Ovis aries: one gene and its partners. The protein of the gene in region 3 interacts with the protein of the main gene of each other region in a pairwise test. Links are inferred from orthologs where the notes say so. Each region holds a gene or a part of one and is shown on either strand. Other genes may lie near its edges.

The links.
Region 1: the proteins of CBY2 (region 3) and TXLNA interact in binary tests that used the Homo sapiens proteins (3 or more experiments, as listed by UniProt). The two-hybrid records come from large-scale screens. The link is inferred for Ovis aries from reciprocal best matches to the Homo sapiens genes CBY2 and TXLNA.
Region 2: the proteins of CBY2 (region 3) and CNNM3 interact in binary tests that used the Homo sapiens proteins (3 or more experiments, as listed by UniProt). The two-hybrid records come from large-scale screens. The link is inferred for Ovis aries from reciprocal best matches to the Homo sapiens genes CBY2 and CNNM3.
Region 4: the proteins of CBY2 (region 3) and ARMC7 interact in binary tests that used the Homo sapiens proteins (3 or more experiments, as listed by UniProt). The two-hybrid records come from large-scale screens. The link is inferred for Ovis aries from reciprocal best matches to the Homo sapiens genes CBY2 and ARMC7.

What each region holds. Positions count from the first base shown.
Region 1 is NC_056055.1:235,341,152-235,346,764, reverse strand, and holds the start of TXLNA (alpha-taxilin), read left to right. Parts: upstream 1-1,651; 5' UTR 1,652-1,748; intron 1,749-1,862; exon of another isoform or gene 1,863-2,143; intron 2,144-2,225; 5' UTR 2,226-2,257; coding exon 2,258-2,435; intron 2,436-3,295; coding exon 3,296-3,634; intron 3,635-3,640; exon of another isoform or gene 3,641-4,720; intron 4,721-4,805; exon of another isoform or gene 4,806-5,385; coding exon 5,386-5,477; intron 5,478-5,613. UniProt on the Homo sapiens protein: May be involved in intracellular vesicle traffic and potentially in calcium-dependent exocytosis in neuroendocrine cells.
Region 2 is NC_056056.1:103,717,402-103,723,063, reverse strand, and holds the start of CNNM3 (metal transporter CNNM3), read left to right. Parts: upstream 1-1,700; 5' UTR 1,701-1,735; coding exon 1,736-3,089; intron 3,090-5,662. UniProt on the Homo sapiens protein: Probable metal transporter.
Region 3 is NC_056063.1:16,144,895-16,150,596, forward strand, and holds the start of CBY2 (protein chibby homolog 2), read left to right. Parts: upstream 1-2,298; coding exon 2,299-2,352; intron 2,353-5,702.
Region 4 is NC_056064.1:55,672,265-55,677,898, reverse strand, and holds the start of ARMC7 (armadillo repeat-containing protein 7), read left to right. Parts: upstream 1-1,672; 5' UTR 1,673-1,929; coding exon 1,930-2,020; intron 2,021-2,117; coding exon 2,118-2,261; coding exon of another isoform or gene 2,262-2,274; intron 2,275-4,954; coding exon of another isoform or gene 4,955-5,012; exon of another isoform or gene 5,013-5,634. UniProt on the Homo sapiens protein: As a component of the minor spliceosome, involved in the splicing of U12-type introns in pre-mRNAs.

The sequences.
Region 1 (5,613 bases), on a different chromosome or scaffold from region 3:
AGGCTCCAGGAGTTGGTGATAGACAGGGAAGCCTGGCGTGCTACAGTCCATAGGGTCACAAAGAATCTGACACAACTGAGCGACTGAACTGAAGAGCTCTAAAACAATGCCCAATTCGCAAAATAATTCAAAATATTCTCTGCCGTCTCAACCCCTAGACTGATGTTAGGCTTTAGGAGTAGAGCTTTTAGCCAACAGTTTTGCGATGTTCAGTGACTTGTAAGCAAATAATCTCAACACCTCCCCACTAATGCTGGAACAGAACTCTGTCCAGACCTAGAAAGCTGAAACAAACTGCAGAGAACTGAAAAGGCTCTGAAGCAGCCTTTGAGTTTGGTGGGCCTCAAAAGATTTTGTTTCACCAAGAAGGGAATTTTGGAAGGTAGAACAGCACCTACAAAAACCTAGGAAGTCCTGGAAATAGTAAAAGTATAGATGGAATGAAAAAGGCTGACGGCATGGATAGAAACAGAAGCCATACCAGTTAGGCATTTAATCCAGCACACAGGTTGTTGCCTTTTATTTCACTAGTAGACAAATGGATCAAGTATTGCAGTCAGTCTCACATTTGTCTTGTGGTCTCATAAGGAGAAAAGCTTGGCTTTTTTTCCTCTTTAGCCCCAGTGCAACTGGAACTTTGTAGATGGTGCGCCAGGCAGAGAAAACACTCAAATCTGCTGAGGCCAAATTTCCCCTGGCAGGGCACCCTCAGTACCTTCCAAAGAGCGACTCGAGCTGGTAATGAAGATGGAAAAATAAGTTACTTTCCAAGTTATCTTGATTCATCCTCAAGGAAGGCCTACCATGGGTGGTTATTCTGAGTAAGAGGCAGGTAGTCCGATAGTTAGGATGGGTGCCAAACTTCCTGGCTTTGAATCTGCCCTCATCAGTCACTAGCGATGTAACTTTGGACAAGATAGCTAACCTGTGTCTTACAGTCCACAGCTGTAAATTGGGAATAACAAAAGTTACAGTATTTGAGATACTGGGGAAACTAACGTTTAAAAAAAAAAAAAACTATTAAAAACTTCTATTTGAATACAGAAACTGAAGTCCTGGGAGGGAAAAGAATGCCCAGTCACACAGCAAATTAGTGATGCAGCTGGGACTGAAATACAGGTCTGATGCCCAGCCCAGTATTCTCCCCCTACTCCTCACAGTTCCTAGACAGTCACAGATGTTCACATGGACAGAGGAGCCTGGCAGGTTACAGTCTGTGGGGTCGCAAGAGTCGGACACGACTGGGCGACTAAGCACAGACACACACACACACACACACACACAGATGTTCACAGCAGGAGGGACGGGGTAGTGGAGGCGTGCAGAAAAAAGTAGCCATCCGGAAGGCTCTAGGAGCTGAATCATAGCTTCTGCGTGATAGAAACAAGGTTGACGTGATTTGTGCAGAATGACTGGCTCCTTTCAGACCTCCTGGGTCTGCGGCTCCGAGGACTGGAGCCCTATTGCATCTTGGGAGTCAGGGGTTAGCCCCGATGCATGGAGGGACGCGTAGTCCTTTCCCTCCCCCGCCTTTCCAACTCACCCTCCTCGGAGGCCGCCTTCGCTGCATCTTTCCCAGCAAGCCCCGCGCTAGCGCGGGCTATTGATTGGCTGCGGCGCGAGCAGGAGGCTCTGCCGGCAGCAGTTATCCAGGGTTTCCGGTGCAAGGCCAGAGCGGGCGAAGCCGTCGGGGTGTCGGCGGTGGGGGTGCGTACGGCGGCGGCTAGGGGGAACAACGCGAGCGGAGGGTCTGTGGTCTCAGATGGTTTTGGCCGGTGCGGGGAATCGCGCGGGTTCAATGTGACGGCTCGGGCCTGGGGGGGGGGCGGGGGGGCAGGGGTGTGGCCTGTGCGCATGCGCGCGGGGGCGCGCGCGGCTCTTGGGCGCGCGGGGCGTGGGTGGCTGCGCTCGCGCGACGGGGGTGCGCCCACGTGGGGCCAGAGAGGCGGGGAGGAACCGGGAACCGGGAATCCAGCGTCCCGCCACGTCAGTCCCGGGCCTTGAGCCTGTTCCGCGTGCGGCTTGTGGTGAGGGGCCAGTGTTGTGCTGGGAAGTGACTTCTGGAAAAAGGAGGCCTGGCTGGGCACACCGGACAGACCAGAGACTGGGAGAACCGCTGACTCCCTCCGGTGAAGGCCTGCCGGTTTGTTTCAAGCTTCGCGCGCCCCCTGATATTGAGATTTATGATCCAAGTCTGGAAAATAGCAATGTGTTTGTTTCTATAGGATCTGCTCCTAACCTGACATTGCAAACTACAATGAAGAACCAAGACAAAAAGAATGGGCCTGCCAAGCAATCAGGCAACACTTCCAACCCCAAAAACACTCCGGGGCAACCGGAAGCAGGACCTGAGGGAGCCCAGGGGAGGCCCAGCCAGTCGGCTCCTGCGACAGAAGCTGAAGGTTCCACCAGCCAGGCTGCAGGGAAGGCAGAGGGTGTGTGCCAGCTCTGCTTTTCCAATGCGCAGGGGGAGGAGTTTGTGGCGCGCCGGTCTAGCTTCTGGAATTAGAGGCCCAGGCCACTGTTTACCCAGCAGAGAGGAAATGTGGAGAGGAGGCCAATGCTGAGTCTGCGCAGCCCCCACCAGGCACTGGGGAGTGGATACAGCCTCCCATTCAAAGCACAGGGGCAGACCTCCAGACAAGGCTCTGACAGGATTAAGTCAGGTTGAGGTTGGCAGTCAGATGAGACTTCCAACCAGCAAATCCAGGTTAGAAACACCTCATTCACAAGTGGGTAACTGATGTTTATACTTGAGGCATTTCTGGTGCTTTTTTTTTTCCTCTCCCAGAGAAGGATTTATTACTTGAAGAAAGTAAAGAGAAAACTTGATTTCCCAAAGCACTGTCTCCTCCGAACTGTTTTTGTTTTTTTTTTTTTAAGACAGCACCCAGTGGCTTGCAGGATCTTAGTTCCTACCAGGGATGGAACCTCCCCTCACCCGGTGAAGCCCAGAGTCCTAACCACTGGACTGCCAGGGAATTCCCTGGAACTTTTTTAATATCAAGAGGCAACATTGGCAGGGTGGAGAAGGGAATGGACTAGAGTTGAGATGTAGAGTTCCTGCTACATGATGGCACCCCTGTGTGTTGGATGGTCTGCTTAGTTGATTTTTTTTATGCTCAAAATAAGCGTGGTTGGAGAGTAGTGAGAAATAGTTGGCTTATAGGGAAGTAAGCTAAGGCTTAGAGAATTTAGGCAACATTTACCCAAACCAATATGTTTGGGCCTGAAAAATCCCAACTAGCGGCCTAACCATCTTATTTCCCTCTCTGCCTTTCATCCTCTCCTGTAGGAGCACAAGCCAAGAGTGCTCAGTCTGGAGCCCTCTGTGATGTCTCTGAGGAGTTGAGCCGCCAGCTGGAAGACATCCTCAGTACATACTGTGTGGACAACAGTCAGGGGGGCCCAGGTGAGGATGTGGCACAGGGTGAGCCTGCTGAACCCGAAGATGCAGAGAAGTCCCGGACCTATGCCTCAAGGAATGGGGAGCCTGAGCCAGAGACTCCAGTAGTCAATGGTGAGAAGGAGATCTCCAAGGGGGAGCCGGGCCCGGACGAGATCCGGACCAGTGATGAGGTCGTAGACCGAGACCACCGAAGGCCACAGGAGAAGAAGAAAGCCAAGGGTCTGGGTGAGCAGAGAACAGCTACTTGTGAGGGGAGGGAGTTTGGACCTGACATACCTGGGCCAGCCCACTCTGCAAGGATTCAGAAGAAACCTGACTTCCAGAGCTGCCAAACCACATAGTCTAATCAAAGCCGCGACAGTGGGGCCATCATGTAGAGGTGTGCGGTTGTTCATTGCATTAGGGGAACAAGTGCAAACCAAAGGCCAATATACTCTTTGAGAAGATGGGAAGCAGGAGTCATCAGTAGGCATCCTGTGCCATCACCATTTCTAATTTGCTCTGTGACCTTAGGCAAGACAGTTCTCCTCTCTGTTCCTTAGTTTTCACTTCTCTACACAATAAGAGAATTGGACTAGACCAGAGTTGAAAACTCAGAGAAGTTAAGCTTAGCCAGAGGGCCCCAGGAGACCAAGAGAATACCTCATTTATCCAAAGGCTTGACTGCCACCTGGTCCCAGTGAGCTGATAGTGTGTTAGAACTGTAGCTGGCTGCCTTTTTTAGCCACAAATATAGTTACGTGAAATCTCTAGATTTGTAACAGTTGGCAACTAACAGGATAGGAGCCAAACAAAACCCATCTGTGGGTTGGATTTGGCCTGTGTGCCAACGATTTGCATTCTCTGCATTGGTCTCTCAGAGCCTCCGGGGGTTGACACTTCAGGAACCTGTCACAGTGCTATGCATGGTGGCCCCCTCTGACTCAGGCACAGGCAGTGGAGGAGTCACTTGGGTGGGGATGGAGAGTGAGTGGGTTAAAGAAGCAAGGTGATGTTATACCCACATCTTATGGGGTCACTACTCCCCCACCCCCTCCTTGTTATCCTAATTTAAAGAAGTGTGTAGGTTTTTTTTTTTAATTTTATGATCAGATATCGAAAGGTATATTTATTTATTGGCAGGGGTATAGTCATTTTAAAGTACACTGTTGGCTGCCTCTGTTGACTGAAGTGCAGTGTTCTTGAGGAGACCTATTCCTTTTGTGTCCTTCCTTTTTCAGAAGGGCTTTCTTTGCATTGAAAGTGAAAGTCGTTCAGTCGTGTCCCACTCTTCACAACCCCATGGACTATACAGTCCATGGACTTCTCCAGGTCAGAATACTGGAGTGGGTAGCCTTTTCCTTCTCCGGGGGATCTTCCCAACCCAGGGATCAAACCCAGGTCTCCTGCATTGCAGGCAGATTCTTTACCGCTGAACCACCAAGGAAGCCCTACTTTGCATTGAAACAGCACTGAATTCACAGGTGGGATACCTTTTTTTCACCTGTAGGTAGAGCAGGCAGTTTTCTTTCTCCCACTCCTGGTGCTCATCTCTGAGATTTCATAGAGACTCATTCTTTTTTTTTTGTCTTTTTTATAAAGATCTTTGTGTAATGGGTGGATTGATTCATTGATTATTTTGGCTGCACTGCATGGCTTGCGGGATCTTGGTTCCCTGACCAGAGATTGAATCTGCACCCTTGGTAGTAAACACGTGGAGCCCTAACCACTGGACTGTGAGGGAACTCCCTCAGTCCTTCACTGAATAAGTATTTGTTGAGTGTGTTCTCTGTGGTGGGCACTCAGGATGGTACTGGGGCTATACTGGTGGGCAGAACTGAGTGGGTCCCAGTGTTCCTGAGGCACACAGAAGAGCAGGGAAGGCAGCCAGGTCAGCAAACGGAAATGTAACATCTGATAGGTGAGAATAGTGGGCCCAAACCCAAAGGGGGCCTCTAGAAAAGAAGGTACATGCCTTTGCTCCCCGTGCTTTGCAGGAAAGGAGATCACATTACTGATGCAGACGCTGAACACGCTGAGTACCCCTGAGGAGAAGCTCGCAGCTCTGTGCAAGAAGTATGCTGAGCTGGTCAGTGCTTCCCCTTCATACACCCTCCCTGCCCTGGGAGGGTGGCACATTTTTAACTACCCCAAGTTGCATTATATTTCTTCCTATGGGGCTGAATAAGCTTATAGGAGGGGAGCTGAGCTGAACTGGGAAAGGA
Region 2 (5,662 bases), on a different chromosome or scaffold from region 3:
TGCAGAGCCAAGCAAGACAGAAGCTGGTAAAGTGGTGTGGGACCTATGTTGTTCACAGAAAGTCATTCATGGGCAACTTTGTTTGCCCTGCACTGGATCCTTTGGGTCTCATGGTTTAAATCATCATTTGTGTTTTCCAAGTGTGATCTGATTGTTCTATCCAAAGGTTTCCCTGCCAAAATAAGTTACAAGGTTGTTTTCCAAGGGAGTCTGGGACCAGAGGAAAAGTAACTTGTCAGAGGTCAGAGCCCTGTGTAGATGTACTGGGCGTTTTTCCCACCTTGCCTCTGGAACTGTTCTTTGCTGGTTAACTTTTCAGGCATGTGGCTCATTTCAAGCTGTTGTCCATTCTATCTGTGTCAGCATTTTTATCTGGACTTGGAAACAGAAGTGTGAACCAAAGGGACTGAGTCTATTATTATTTTTTCAAAAGAGGCATGCCAGTCCGGTGGAAAGGGTCAAAGGTCATAATTGCTTCTGCTGGCAGCTTATTCTGGAGTTTTTCACACAATACTTTTGTTGGTCACTCACCACAGGTTTACTCATTTTTGCACATTACCTTCCACACAAGTATATTTCACTTAATTGTGACCACAGTGCCTAAGCTTTTTAATAGTATTTTCATGACAACATATGTGTTTCTATACAGCCCTTGCAAAGACCATTTTAAATGACACGTATATGGATGCTCTTATCAGTCTACTTATGTTAGGAAAGTTGAAAATACATAAAAATGCAGAAAATACAAAAAAACCATTTTGTCGGGACACTTATAGAGAAGTCTTGTTAGCTTGCGTGTTTCCTTCCAACCAGGTAAAGTTCACATATAACAGGTTGAGGAACATTCCATACTGTCAAGGACCATACAGTCTTCTAAAACAACAATCCTGGGAGGATCCTCTTGAATAGTTCCTGTTGGTCGTTAGGAATTACTTTCCCAAGGATGCTCTCCTAGAAGTGAAGTGACCAGATACAGTAATTTCTGACAGAGATGCCAACTCCTAGTGTTGCTGGGATGGCGACAGGATATTAGGCTGGTCGCTTTGGAACCCCTCATCCGTGCCCGAGTAGTGTTCACTTTTCTCTAGTAAAGTGTATCAATAACGAAGTAGCTGCGAGGATCCAATGAGGCGGTGATTTCGTGTATTTACGTCCTTCGTTCTCTCTGGCAGGGGTGCAAGTTCATCTAAGGAGGGACTGAGTGTGTGTCACGTCCCAGACCCATAGCAGAGTCGCGCGCGATCAAGGAATACTCTCAATAAGCTTTAGCTTCCGACGCCCGGTCGTCGGTTCTTTTAGCCCTCTTCGAGGTTTGGGTCGTCGGTTTCTGAGGAAACGGACCGTCTCCCTTCGTTAAATTATCTATCTGCAATTTCAGGAGCTCCACTGCTCTCGGCGGCCCAAGTGCCGAGCCAGGGACTTCCCAGAGTACGGGCCTGGCCTCCCTGCGCTGGGGACGGCCGAAGGGAACTAGACCCCCGCGGAGAGCGGGCCAGCTGGCCGCCCAGCGTCCTCCGGGTGCCGCGGCCCAGGCCCACAGGGCCCAGAGCCCCACGCCCCCGGCCCGCCCCGGGATCGCGCCGCGCTTGTTTACTCCCCGGCGCAGCCTAGTCCGACCCTGGGGCCCGCCCCCGCCCGCCGCCTATTGGCTGAAGAGGCTCCAGGGCTGGCGACGATTGGCCCGGCGGAGGCGGAGAGGTAGGCTGCACGGGAGGCCGAGAGGGGGCAGCAGGCGATGGCGGCGGCGGCGGCGGGTCGGCTAGGCTGGTTGCTCGCCGCGCTCTGCCTGGGCAACGCCGCTGGAGAAGCGGCGCCGGGCCCGCGAGTGCTGGGCGTCTGTCTAGAGGAGGACGGAGCGGCGGGCGCGGGGTGGGCGCACGAAGGGGAGGTGCGGGCCGCGCCGGAGGCCACCTTCCGCTTGCGCCTCTTCGGCTCGGGCTTCTCCAACAGCTCCTGGTCCTGGGTGGCTCCTGAGGGGGCGGGTTGCCCCGAGGGCGGGCCGGCCGTCGCGCCCGACGAAGCGGCGGCTCCCACGGGCGAGTGGCGTGCGTTGCTGCGCCTGCGCGCCGAGGCCGCGCGCCCGCACTCTGTGCGGCTGGCGGTGCGCGGGGAGCCGGGGGGTTCGGCGGCCGAAGAGGCGGCAGCCCTCACGGGCGAGTGGCGCGCACTGCTGCGCCTGCGCGCCGAGGCCGCGCGCCCGCACTCGGCGCTGCTGGCTGTGCGTGTGGAGCCGGGCGGCTCGGCGGCCGAGGAGGAGGCGCCGCCCTGGGCTCTGGGCCTGGGGGCGGCGGGGCTGTTGGCGCTGGCGGCCCTGGCGCGGGGCCTACAGCTGAGCGCACTGGCGCTGTCGCCCGCCGAGGTGCAGGTGCTGCGCGAGAGCGGCTCGGAGGCGGAGCGTGCGGCGGCGCGGCGCCTGGAGCCCGCACGGCGCTGGGCGGGCTGCGCCCTGGGCGCGCTGCTGCTGCTGGCCAGCCTGGCGCAGGCGGCGCTGGCCGTTCTGCTGTACCGCGCGGCCGGCCAGCGCGCCGTGCCTGCCGTGCTAGGCAGCGCGGGGCTCGTGTTCCTGGTGGGCGAGGTGGTGCCGGCCGCCGTGAGCGGGCGCTGGACGTTGGCGCTGGCGCCGCGCGCGCTGATCCTCAGCCGCTTGGCGGTGCTGCTCACCCTGCCCGTAGCGCTGCCGGTGGGCCAGCTGCTGGAGCTGGCGGCGCGGCCAGGGAGGCTGCGCGAGCGCGTGCTGGAGCTGGCGCGCGGCGGCGGCGACCCCTACAGCGATCTCAGCAAGGGCGTGCTGCCCTGCCGGACAGTGGAGGACGTGCTCACGCCCCTCGAGGACTGCTTCATGCTAGATGCCAGCACCGTGCTGGACTTCGGCGTCCTGGCCAGCATCATGCAGAGCGGCCACACGCGCATCCCCGTTTACGAGGACGAGCGCTCCAACATCGTGGACATGCTCTATCTCAAGGACTTAGCTTTCGTGGACCCCGAAGACTGCACGCCGCTCAGCACCATCACCCGCTTCTACAATCACCCACTTCACTTCGTCTTCAACGACACCAAGCTGGACGCCGTCCTGGAGGAGTTCAAGCGAGGTAACTGTTGGGGAATCGCGGAGGGGACGCGAATGTCAGCTCTCTCTCCCCAGAGAAAGAGTGGGGTTTAGGGAAGCCTTGGGGAAAGGTCCCAACCCGGTGGACGACAGGGAGGCCTCTGAGCGCCCTTTTAATGAAGTTGATGGTTTTTTAGCTCTGAATGAACTTGCAAAATATCATTTAAAGCCTTTGGTTCCGAAAATGACAATACTATAGACAACAAAAAGCTTTTCCGGGCAGGCCCCCAGTTTGGGGAGATACGTGTGCTTGATTCTAACTCTCCAGCTTTTTACCGGCTCATTTTTGTGGGCTTGGGCTTTGTGGCAGGTTCGGACTCTTGGATAGAAACTGAAAGAACGTAGAGTATACGGTCTAGATACCTGGACGCTGTTGTTTGCACATATGTAATACCAAACTAGGTGAACCTGTGATGTTTTTCCAAGGCGTCCTTGTTAAGGTCAGTGATGGGCTGTTGCCTTCCTGGTTACAGAAAAGGGTATGATTGATCATTACTTCCTGCAATGTGAAAGAAACTTCCACTTTGATTTCACCAGAAGCAACTTGATGGAGGCCAGTCAGTCTCCCCTTCCTTTAAAAACAATAAAACAAAACCCAAGTAAGGGCTCAAGTCCTCTTAACTCCACATTTTTGTCCTCTCCTTTGACCCGGGTTCAGGTGAAAACTGAGACCCTCCCATTGTGAAGGTTCGGGTTCTCCGGCAGTCTCCCTCTTGGTGATTGGGCTTGAGGTCCTCCCCAGAGCTTGGTCATGCTTCTCACACCGGAACTTCTGTAAGGACACTTCTGGACTCTGAATGAGCTTGACCGTAAAGACTGCATAATTGAGGCCGAGAAGTGAGCAAGGCCCCCTCATAATGACTTCCTGATAGCTGTGAAGTCTCCAGGTCCCAGGATCCCATAGGAGGTTCCCTGTGAGCCCCTGGACTGTCAGGGCAGGGAGGCAAAGCTCTGCCGTAGTGACCATTAGTACTGCTGCATGCCAGCCACTAGTGGGCACCCTCCTGCACCATCTCCTTAGTTTTAAAGAATTAGGCAGTTACTGTTGCTACTGTTTCTCAGGATTGGGTGGGAGACTTTGATGGGCAGCTCTGGCTGCTGCCCTGGAGAATCTCTGGGTGCTTCTGCTTGTTTCCTCAGAATGTAGCCATGCAGCCCTGCTCTGCAGGAGAGGAGCCCGGGATCCGGGCAGGCAGAGCCTCCTAGGAGCAAGTGCTCCATCTCCGAGTAATATGGTATTTCTGAGGCAGTGGTGGTTCTCGTGGCTGTGTGGCCAGCCGGGCTGGCCCTGGAGTCAGCAGGGGAGGGTACCATCCTGCCCCTGCCATCTTTCAGCTTGAGGCCAGGCTTGACCACCAGGGCGGTGGCTGCAGGCAGAGCATAGCACCCTGTTTAAGTGGTTTCCACAGATCACTGACTGGTGTGGAGACCAGAGTAGGGGGGTCCCCGTGGTTGGGGGGCCCAGTGAGAGGTGATGGTAGCCTGAACAACGGTGCTCAGTGAGCGTAGAAAGGAACACCCAAGAGGGCACTGGAAGGTGAACTTAGGATTTTGTGGTTTGCTGAGGGGCTGTGGGAGAAGGCAATGGCAACCCACTCCAGTACTCTTGCCTGGCAGATCCCATGGAAGGAGGAGCCTGGTAGGCTGCAGTCCATGGAGTCAGTAGGAGTCGGATAGGACTGAGCGACTTCACTTTCACTTTTCACTTTCATGCATTGGAGAAGGAAACGGCAACCCACTCCACTGTTCTTGCCTGGAGAATCCGAGGGACGGGGGAGCCTGGTGGGCTGCCGTCTATGGGGTCTCACAGAGTCGGACACGACTGAAGCGACTTAGCAGCAGCAGCAGCAGAGGGGCTGTGAGGCGGGAGGAGGAGCTGAGGATGAATGTGGGTTTGGCTTGGTGGTGGCCTTGCCTTTCCCTGAGGCTGAGCACACACAGGGAAGAGAGGGCTTGGGGGTTGGGGCTGGGGCAGGCAGACGAGTTTGTTGTGAACACTGGAATTTGTGTGCAGTGGCCTGAGACGTGGGTTGCTAGGAGCAGCCCATGTACAGTGAAGCACAAGTGAAAGTCTCAAGCAAGAGGGAAGGGTCTGGATGTCGGTGGGGAGGGGGTCCTGGGGAGTGATCCTGGAAGCCGAAAGAGAGGCACTAGCAGGGCAGTGAGGACAGATGCTGAGGAGAGCCAGGGCCCTGGAATGTCCTGGAAGCTGAGGGAAGGAGAGTGATCAGGGGAGGAGGCTTGCATCATGTCCTTTGGATCCAACAGCCAGGATACCCTTGACCTTGCAAGAGCAGTTGTGGCATGGCGTGGGGAAGCTGGGGTGGGGGCCAGCAGTGAAGGAGACTGGAGAGCGGGGGCTCGGAGAGGCCCGGCAGGGCGGGAGGCCTTCTGCTCTGGTGGTGTTTCCCCGCCTTTGTTAGCTTTTTAAAAATTTTTAATTAGAGGAAAATTGGTTTACAATATTGTGTTGGTTTCTGCTGTACAGTAACTCCAACCAGCTATAATTTTACATATGTCCCCTTCCTCTGCTGTTTTTATTTCTTTACTTAATTT
Region 3 (5,702 bases):
AAAGCCCTGTAATTGTAAGTAAAGTGTTTTCCTAAGTTCTTTGAGCTTTTCTAGCCAATGATCGAAATTAAGGATTGGGTTGTGGAAACCCCTGATGTATAGCTGGTTAGTTGAAGTACTGGTGGTCCGGTTTCTTTCTTTTTTTTGATGGTCCAGTTTCTTGCAGAGAATTCCATGGACAGAGGTGCCTGGCGGGCTATACAGTCCATGGGGCGGCAAAGAGTCGGACACGACTGAGCACCTAAGCGTGAGCCTGAGTGTGAGACTGGTAGCCCGAGGGGCCTCCCAGGTGGCACTAGTGGTAAAGAACCCACCTGCCAATGCATGAGACATAAGAGATGCGGGTTCGATCCTTGGGTCGGGAAGATCCCCTGGAGGAGGGCATGGCAACCCACTCCAGTATTCTCGTCTGGAGAATCCCAGGCTAGAGCTGGGATTTCCCCCGGGGACAGAGGAGCCTGGCAGGCTTAGAGCCCGTAGGGTCACACAGAGTCAGACCGGACTGAAGTGACTCGGCATGCGTGCAACAGCGGCCCAAGACCCTTGACTGGCATCTGAGGTGGGGGCAGTTCTGTGGGGACTGAGCCCTTTAACTTGGGGGACCCGGCATTCACGCCAGGTAGGGTGTGTCAGAATTGAATTGAAGGACCTCCAATGGGCGTCAGAGAATTGAAGAATGCGTTGGTGTCAGAAAACATCTCAGACTCCATTTGTTTTTCTCTTGGTCTGGGAAGAGTTCCATTTGGGTTTCTTGCTTCTTGAGGAATCCAAGTAGAAGATGCCACCTCTGGAGAGAGGAAAGGGGTCTCAGTCCAGCCTGGCAGTGGAGCTGCAAATGTCAGCCAGGATGACCAAACAGGGGTCCAGTGTCTGGGCTATTGTGTGTCACACCGACCCTGACCGGCCACGTGGACACAACCAGATGCCTGGCCAGCAGGCCCCTCATTCCCACCTGTGATGCTCAGAGAGAGACCATGAGCCTTGAAAAAGACCGTATTGTTTTGTGATGTCACCTCTGGAATGTTCTGAGTGTTTTGGTGACCAACTTCTGCACAGGACCTATACCTGGCACCTAACGTTGGTATGGCTTTTTCCTTGAGCTAGAAATAGTAATCTTAGGAAAGCTAGTAGCTAAAGACTTTCAGAAGGCTTTGTCATCAACTATATAGACCTGTCTTAATTTCTGTTCAGAGATTGATGAAGCATCTTATCAGATACCATCTTCACATTCTCGTAAGGTACATAATTAACAGGAGGGGAGAAGTGAATAGTAGGAAGTCCTGTTTTGCAGTTGAGCAGCTGAGGCTCAGACGATGGGCTGGAAAACAGAAATCTGCCTATTTTCTCTTTTCCACAGCACTCGAGGCCAAATTTTACAAGAAAAAGAGATACCAGATCTGAAAGCCTAGAAATTCCCATCAATGTGGTTCTACCTCAGGTAGGGATGAACACTGAAGGCTGTAACCTCTCAGTTTTGGCCAGAATAATCCCCCTCTTTCCAAGCTCTAGCAAGATACTGCAGGTCAGTGGTAGCCAGGGCCTCAGATTCTAGCTGAAGGTCAGCTGCCAGCCAGCTGTGTGCCAGGGGCAGTCCACTTAGTCACTTGGAGTCTTGGGTTTCCGGTCAGATGAGAGGGTGGGTTCATTGATCTGGTAAGACCATCCAGCCCGACCACTAGAAGTTTCTGTGACAATCTTTTCAAAATTAGAGCGTTTGGAGCTTCTTTACCACCAGGGGGCACTAGTGGTAAAGAAACCGCCTGCCAATGCAAAAGACGCAAGAGACCCGGGTTCGATCCCTGGGTGGGGAAGATCCCCTGGAGGAGGAAATGGCAACCCACTCCAGAATTCTTGCCTGGAGAATCCCACGGACAGAGGAGCCTAACGGGCTACAGTCCAGAGGGTTGCAGAGTCGGACACGACTGAAGCGACTTAGCACACACCCACATTGTGCACTACTCTGGACTTCTGGGTAGAGGATTAGAACTGAGACTTGGGATCAAGGGCACAGGCCCGAACCCATACACCTGGGACATGGACCGAGGGGTCTGGGCTCCTGTGGAGGGGTCAGGAGAATTAGGGCCTGCCGTGTACCAGGGACAGAGCGTAAGGGGGATGAGCCTGGGGGGGTCAGAATGGAGGCCAGCGCACGGGCGACAGGCTGGACATTCTCAGTTCTCCTTCTGCTAAGCAGCCGTTTCCCGGGAGGGGTCCTCCTGATTGGATTGTTTCTGCTGCTATGTCACAAAGGGGGCAGCCTTGCTTCTCCAGAGTCACCTAAGGCCCTGGGGGAAGATCATGGCGGTGCAACCAGAGGGGCTGAAATGTAGGGTGGAGGAATCCAACGCAGAGGTAACGATCTGAAAGCTCTGTCCAGGGATGTGTGGGGAGAGGGTTGACTCCCCAGTGGGGTCTTGGAGGCATGAAATTAGAGTTCAACCTGCTGCCTGTGCCACACACGGGCAGATGAGCGTCCAGGGTACTCTGGAGGCGCACAAGTCCTGAGTCAGGCTCCAGACCCCTGCCAGGATGGGCTGGGCACACTCTGGGGGAAGCGTGCTCAGTCGCACCCGACTCTTTGCCACCCCGTGGACTGTGGCCCCGCCAGGCTCCTCTGTCCATGGGATTCTCCAGGCAAGAGTACTGGAGTGGGTTGCCATTTCCTTCTCTCTGGGGATAAAGGGGCACCTCTGCGTTTAGATGATCTGAGCGGGCTGTGAGAGGGACCAGTGTGCCGACTGGACCTCCCCAAAGGAGAGGCTGACGGCTGGTGGCAGGGGAAGGGTTGATCTGGGTCACACGGGGAAGAAAGGAGAGTGACTGCGCACTGGATTGGTCACATCGGGGCCCTGGGCCATGCAGAGCGAGGGAGAGATTGCAAAGGACCGGGAACTGGGAACCTCAGCAAGTCCACTAGTAATGGCGGAGCTGGAGTTAGAGGCTTGAAGCCAGGTCAGTGCCCACGTCCTCTGCCACAAGCTGGGCACATGCCGCCTGCTTCTTCCCTGGCTTTTAGGACAGGGTGCCTCCCCACCCCCCATCTTAACTGCCAAGCCCCTGCACGAATCTGCCACATTCTGCTCCGTTCTGGTTCTGAGACTGAGTCCATTTGTTTTGAGAAGAAATTGCAGGAGCAGCTCTGTGTCTCCAGAAAGTGCCTCTGCACCCCCCCAGCTCCCAACCCTGCCTGAACGCTTCTCATTTGCATTGCGAATGTCTGTGATTCTCTATTTGTTATCACCCTTAGGTCTTTTCGGGTCTTATTGATTTCCAGTTTTCCTTCCTCACAGTAAATATTTGTGTTTTCTAATCTGTTTCTCTCCAGGGCATTAACTTGCCAGCCTTCCCTAGTTACTTCCTTCCCAAGTTCTCTGCACGCCGCCCCTCCACCTCCCTTGCCCCCCCCCCCCCCCTTGCCCCCCCCACCTCCCTTGCCCCCGCCCCCCCCCCATTCCTTTTCTACCTACCGGTTCTCCCCAGCACTCCCATTTTCCCAGTGAGCACTCTCTGTGAATCTCATAAAGGCACTGTTTCCTGCGAGATTGTTAATGAAGGCTCCTCACCAGGTCAGAATAGGGTCCCATCACCCCTCCAGGGCCCCGCCTTGTCCCTCTCTGTTGCCTTTTTTCAATCCCCTTTGTTTGGGTTTGTTCTTTGGAAGCTATGGAATCTGTGGCCGACAATGCCTGTAGCTCTGCCAGTTTGAAAAAGTGTTAGGAGGATTTCGGAAGATTCTGTGTTAAACAATTAGCTAAAACTACCACATACGATGAGAGAGGACATCTTTAGCCTCTTTGCTGTTAGTATTAGGATTCTATCCAAATCAATTACATTGACCTGCAAATTATCCTCTTATCTGTTAGCGTTTATTAAAACCAACATTGACTTTCTCATGGCACTTGGGAGCGGAGTTGATTTAAGCATATGCTCGTGATACTCAGCCTTGTCACCTGGTCTGAAAATTAGTGGCAGATCTGGAGAATCCTAGGGACAGAGGAGCCTGGTGGGCTGCCATCTATGGGGTTGCACAGAGTTGGACACGACTGAAGTGACTTAGCAGCAGTAGCAGCAGCAGCAGCTGCCTTTCCTTCCAGCATATTCTGGGTCTCAGCTTCCCCAGGCTTGAAACGTAACCCCAGAGGGCTGAATATTCTCTGACCATAACCCTCAGTAATGCTGGCAAAAGCAGGGCTTTAAAAACACTTGGTCAACAGACTTGGAGTCTGCTGAGGGCATTTGGACGTCTCTTCTGGTCTGTGGAAGTGCAGAGAATCTCAGTGCCTGGCAACTAAACTGGCAAGTCACTGTCCAGTTCTGTTCCCCAACGCTTCAGATGGGAGGCCAGCAACCTCAAAAGCTCCATCCCCGAAGGTCCTATTCCTTAGATACCCCTTAGCTTCAGAAAGATGCTTTGGTCTTATTACCTCCCCTCTGCCCTTAGCCCTACCCCCGTTTCTAGCCACCATCCCTCCTGTGTGGGCTCCATTTGCCACACAAAAGGCTGGTGATCTGACCGAAGCATGCAGTTGGTTATCTCATACACTTTCCTTCCAGTACCACGTGTATTTTAAAAACGGATGCTGGGGAGAAGGATGAAGAGTGAAGAGTGAAAGTGTTAGTCGCTCAGTCACGTTTGCTACTCGGCAGCCCCACGGACTGTAGCCCGCCAGGCTCCTCTGTCCATGGGATTGTCCGGGCAAGACTACTGGAGTGGGCTGCCATTCCCTTCTCCAGGGGATCTTCCGGACCCAGGGATGGAACCAGGGTCTCCTGCATTGCAGGCAGACTGAGCCACCAGGGAGGCCCAGGGCTGATGCTGAGGATGGAGCTCAGCCACAGGTGGGATTCAGGCATCTGAGCGGGAGCTCTCGGGACCCAGGGCCCTTCCTGCGTCCTTAGCACTGATGCAGCTTCTTTAGGTCACAGCCGGGAGCACTTTGCTCCCGAGAGCAGCATCTCTGGGTCACCTTCCTAACAAAGCCACGGCCACACGTCTCCCCTCCTGCTTCCTTCCTGTATCCCGTTCTTCCATGAAGAAGCCCCCCGCTTCTCCTCTCCCACCTATGAGGGCATGTCCTACATGTCAAGGAAGAAACTGTCCTTTCTTTCTTGGAAACCGGGCCAGGCTGTGCTGGGGGTTTGGGTCATGCTGCCGGAGACCCCACCTCCGAGGCTAAGGAGAACTTTGAGGGGTGTTCCAGGGGCTTTTAATTGGCCCAGACCTCTGGTTCAGGGCTCAGTGACCCCAAGGGGCAGATTAGTTTGGCCCATGAAACCAAGCCTGTGATACCACTGGTTGAGGAGACCTACTGAGGAGCTGGCTTCAGATGTCAGCTAAGGGGGTCTGGGATTTGGTACCTCAAGTAGCTTGAGTCCTTTCAGATGCTCACTTTTTGTCACGTTCTTTCATAAAGACAGTTAGGATTTGCTCTAGTGTTTTAGGTCAGGAATGGTTAAGCTTTACCAGGAGAATTGGCCCTCTGTTTGGTCTTGATGACACCTTAGTAACCACTTTCTTGGCCTCTCACAGTAACCCCTGGCAGTAGACACAGCCACTGAGGTGACTTTCAGAGAAGCTAAATGACTTTCACAGGAGCTGCCAAAGATGGGACTTTTAAGCCCAAAGCTATTGGGAATTTGAGGTCTCTACCCTCATCGGATTATAAGTTCAAGATGGTGACATGGACAACCAGCAAGCTTGT
Region 4 (5,634 bases), on a different chromosome or scaffold from region 3:
TAGTAAACATTTAGGATAGAGAACTTTGACCTCCTCTGCCTGCCCTCCCCCACTCCCTACCCTGGGCAAGAGTGGCAATCATTTCTGGGCAGAATTCCTTCAACAAATATTGAGCTACTGTGTGTCACGAACTGGGCAGAGAGGAGTAAGACCTGGTCACAAAACCAAGGACTTAAAGAATTCTTTGCAGAGGTGAGGGCCTCGGAAGCCTTAATTCAGTTCAGTTCAGGCACTCAGTCGTGTCCAACTCTGCGACTCCATGGACTGCAGCACACCAGGTTTCCCTGGCCATCTCCCAGCTCTCTGGAGCTTGCCCTAACTCATGTCCATTGAGTAGGTAATGCCATCCAACCATCTCATCCTCTGTCATCCCCTTCTCCTGCGTTCAATCTTTCTCAGCATCAGGGGCTTTTCCAAAGCCTTAGGAGGGGGCAAGTAATGGAGGATGTGATGGCCCATCAGATTCCAGAATCCACACTTGGCTGATCCTGGGATTCCTCTAGAGAGGGTCCAGAGCAGTTCCTGACCAGTGTGGGGTAGAGCCCACTTCTGTCCTGTCCCTAGATCTTTACTGCTCCATCCAGACAGGAGCAGAGAAGCCCCCTGGCCACATTGGGCTGAGATAGACTTCCCCAGGTCGAATCAGCTCTCCTTAAAATGTGAAGGTTCTGGTGAGGGGCCTGGGGACACTACCCTGCAAGAAGCAGCCAGGGTCCCCAAGCCCCAGGTGTGTGCATAGGGCTGGGGCTGATCACAGCCACCTGAGCCCACCAGGTGGGGGCTGCTCCCAGTGGGGCTGTGGCAAGCTGGAGTGTGGCAGTCACTGTCCTTGCGCAAGGCCCTTGCCCTCCAGAAATTCACAGCCTAAGCCGCTTCCACCCCCACATTTTGAAACACGCTGGAGTCCAAGAGGGCCACCTTCCTCCCTGGTGCTCTGTCACCTGACCCCTTCCTGAGAAACTGAGAAAGGACTAGATAGGAGGGCTTCAGCATTCTGGGCTCCCCACAACCCAGAAAGCCACCAAAGTAGTATTTCTGGGGTCCGATGGTGCTGCCCCGGGTGCGCCCCGCCACCTGGCAGGCTCAGCTCGGGACTGGGGAGCAGAGGATACCAGGCGCGCTGACTTGTTTTCATCTTGGCCTCGCCTCGGGCATACAGGGTCACAGTTCCCCCACCAGGGATCCAAGCGTGTCCCCTCCACTGGGAGCAGAGTCTTAAGCACCGAACCACCAGGGAAGTCCTCACTGGGCTTTTGGGAAGAGCCGACCAGAAGGTAGTGTCAGAAGAGCCACAGAGGGGACACAAGGAGCAGGCGCTCGCGTTTCCACGGCGTCCCTGGATGGTGGAGGGGCGGGGACTGCGGCCCATCGCCAAGCGCGGGTGCATCTGAAGGTGCTTCTACCCCGACAGTCCCCCACACAGGCGACCCCCGGCACCTCTGAGCTCCTACGGGCCCTTGGGGCTCGCCTCAACACAACCGCAGGCTTCAGTCACCACTTCCATCAAGAGGCGGATCGCCGCCTGCGAGAGACAAAACGCTGGAAGCGGGCCCACGCTCAGCGACGGCCCCGCCCATCGCCCCTCGCCTCGTCGCCCCGCCCCTTTGGCCCTTTGGGCGTGGCCAAGTGCCGCTTCCCCCGGAAGTCCGGAACCAAGCCGAACGTCCCGCCCAGCTGGGACGGGCCTTCCTCACGCGGCGCGAGAGTGGGTCCTTGTCTCCTGGTCCCCGACTTAGGTGTTCAGTCCCAACTCCTACGAGGTTCTGAGTCCCCACCGCGTCTCCCACAGCCCAGTCTCAGCTGCAAGCTGCTGGAGAATTCGTTTCCCCTCCCCGGCCCCGCGAAGCCAGGTGGGGTCCTAGCCCCGCGCCCCAGCCTCAACCTTCCACACTCTCCCGCCCGCTCCCCGGGGCCCCTCGCCGCCCGCCCATGGCCCAGAAGCCGAAGGTAGACCCCCACGTCGGTCGGCTGGGGTATCTGCAGGCGCTGGTCACGGAATTCCAGGAGACGCAGAGCCAAGGTGAGTGTCTCGGGGTGGGGGGCAGGGGGGGCTGGGCCGGGGTCCAGCCGCGACCACCGCCCCGACCCTGGCGCCACTGCCCGCTTCTCCATCGCAGACGCCAAGGAGCAAGTGTTGGCCAACCTCGCCAACTTCGCCTATGACCCCGGTAACTACCAGTATCTGCGGCAGCTGCAGGTCTTGGATTTATTCCTCGATTCGCTGTCGGAGGAGAATGAGACCCTGGTGGAGTTTGCTATTGGTAAGGATGGGGCGCTCTCCTAGGTGCCTGATGAGGTAACGAGTTAGAAATGAGTTGTTGGGAAAGGGCTCTTCGGCCGTCTCTCAGCAGCGAAGGCAGACTTTCGTAGTGTCTGTAATGCCTCCGCGGCCAACACAGCGTACAGGTTCACGGGTGGCTTGAGTCTGGCCTGGAACCCACGCCCAGGACCATTTCTACCTGTCTACCTTCCCTGTCGGTTAGAGGTAAGATCATAAATGGGAATGGATTGAAGCCCCTTGGAGGGGCGGGGTGGGGGCGGGGGAGTTGAGCGCTCTTTTAAAACCTCTTTATCTTATATGTTTCACCATCAAGAGAAATAGCGTTCACTCGGAAGGGCTTATGGCACCTGTAGTTGTTCTGGTCTCAGACCTATTGATTTATTCACACGTCAGGTGTTTGTTGGGCTGGTACCCTGTGAGCAAAGTATTGTTCTAAATGCTGGTGAGATGGCCAACAAGTTGGGAAAAGATCTTTGCCCTCAGGGAATTTACATTCTAGTAGAGAGAGACACAAGGTTTACACACAAAAGAAGCTGAGGCACTGAAGAAAACAGGCTGATGAAGAAGAGCAAGGGAAGGAAGGGACTACTTCTGGTTTGGCCCTGGCGGGAAGGCACAGGCCGGGCCAAGACCCCAGAGCAGGAGGAGCCAGAAGGAAGGCTGATGTGGCACCATTGTGGTGAGTGAAGCCCAGAGTGGTACTAAATGAGAGAGAAGGATTTAGTGCTGCTAAATTAGAGAGCACCTCGCACCAGTTTACAGGGATTCAGATCTAGGCATTGGGTGGGAGTTTGGAGTTTATTCTGAGGGCAAACCAACATTCCTGGAACTTCCCTAGTGGTCCAACAACTAGGACTTTGCTTTTCCACTGTAGGGGCGATGGGTTCCATCCCTGGTTAGGGAACTGCTGCTGTTGCTAAGTTATTTCAGTCGTGTCTGACTCTGTGCAACCCCATAGACGGCAGCCCACCAGGCTCCGCCGTCTCTGGGATTCTCCAGGCAAGAACACTGGAGTGGGTTGCCAGTTCCTTCTCCAGTGCATGAAAGTGAAAAGGGAAAGTGAAGTCGCTCAGTCGTGTCTGACTCTTAGCAACCCCATGGACTGCAGCCTACCAGGCTCCTCCGTCCATGGGATTTTTCAGGTAAGAGTACTAGAGTGGGTTGCCATTGCCTTCTCTGGTTAGGGAACTGAGATCCTGCAAAAAGCAAACAAAACCAACATTCTTTCTGCAGCATGTGTCTTTAAAAAATAACATTTCTCTGCATAGTGAAAGGAGTCTTATCTTCATAGGGAATGAACTTAATAATTCCATTGTCACCAAATACCCAGTTAGGCAGACTTCTCTAATAGTTCCCAAGCGGACATTTTTTGTTGTTCTGTATAAACCAGGATCCATGCTCTTAATCTGGTTGTTATGTACGTTAGATCTCAATCTCTCGCTCTCTTTTGAAAGAAACTTTGTATTTTATAACAGTAGAAAAATTGCGAAGGTAATACAGAGTTTCTATGTATACACACCGAGTTTCCTTATTATTACCATCTTACATTAGTATGGTACACTTGTTACAATTAATAAGCCAATAGCAATAGTCCTGTCTAACTCTTTGCAACCGCATGGGCTGTAGCCTGCCAGACTCCTCTGTCCATGGGATTTCCCAGACGAGAATATTGGAGTGGGTTGCCATTTCCTTCTCCAGGGGATCTTCCTGACCCAGGGATAGAACCTGCGTCTCCTACACTGGCAGACAGATTCTTTACCACTGAGCCACCTGGGTACCCCTGTTATTAACTGAAGTCCATGCTTTGTTCTGATTTCGTCACTTTTTCCCTCATAACCTTTTACTGTCTCAGGATTCCATCCAAGATCTTATGTTAGATTTAGGCTCCTTTGGGCTTTGCTGGTTTTAGACTTTTTCTTTTTGTGAATGACCTTGGCAGTTTTAAGGAGTACTGGTCAGGTATTTTGTAGGTTTTCCTTCAGTTGGGATTTGCCTGACATTTTTCTCGTTATTAGACTGGGATATGGGTATTGGGGAGGATGACCACAGAGGTAAATGGTAAAAGGCCATGACATATCTCCTCCAACTGAAGCTATTTTGGGAGGTAGAGGGGGGTGCTTCCCACGTGGGATCTTAGTTCCCTGACCAAGGATCGAACCTATGCCCCCTGCAGTGGCAGTGTGGAGTGTTAACTGCTGGACCACTAGGGTCTCGACTCTGCAGAAAACTTTGCTAAAAAGAGCAGTCGGGAGGGAGGTGGGAGGGGGGTTCATGTTTGGGAACACGAAAAATAAAAATAAAAAATAAAAAGAGCAGTCAGCCAAGGCGAGTTTTTACAGGATCAGGAAGCACCTTTCCCAAGGCAGGAGACCTCTGAGATCCCACCCCACTGAGCCGGGGGCTCCCAGGGTGGGTAACCAAGCCCTGGACCCAGAGTCCACGGTCCCCACTTCACTTTGTAGCTGATCCTTGTGGATGAGTCCTATCTCTTCTGAGCTTCGTTTCCTCATCTGAGCCTTGCCTGCCTTGCAGGACTGCCATGGGGAGCAGAGCTGTTGTGTCTGTGTGTCTGTGAAGGCACTTTGTCTACAATCGCTTGTATCTTTATCACCAGTTTTCCTCTTCACGGCCGCTTTTTCTTTCTCTTTTTCTCCTCCTTCCTAAGGTCCCCAGTCCCAGGAGCAACAGCTTTCTTAGCATTGAATCCCTCCATGGGGTCCTCTGCAGATGAAATTTATTTTTTATTTATTGTGCATAAATTGGAAGTCCCAGTGGTGCTTAGAAGCCTACTTTGTTACTCTTTCTGTTTCCTTTCCTGTTAATATCTGTGGCGCTTCATGTGGCGCTACACTGTCAGTGATTATTCTGCGTTGTGCTTTGTAGCTTTGAATCTTTTCTCTCTGGTGGCAGGTCTGAGATTGTGATCTCCATGAGGTCAGAGTGCTTTGCTTATGTTTGTCTTGAATACTCAGACTTTTTGGTCTGGAAAGGGGATGGGGCGAGTGCACGCACGCAGAGTCCTGCCCCTGACTTGGGGTTGGTGCCCTGAGTGAGGCTATTTCTGGAACAACTACTAGGTAAGATTGCCCACGGCCATGGTTTGGCAGAATCAAACCGAGTGTTGGTTTGTTGGTGCGGAAGAGAGTGAGTTTGGTAGGAGCAGGGCTTTGGGGTCAGGCAGGCTTGGGTTCCAGTCCTCACTCCGCGACTTAACTCTGGGCATGTGACTTCCCTTCTCCCATCGTCAGTCAGGTGAGCAGGATCAACACCTGCCTCACAGAGTTGTTGACAATTAAATAAGCTAAAGTGCCTCAGACCCCCTGACCTGCCTCTTGAGAAATCTGTATGCAGGC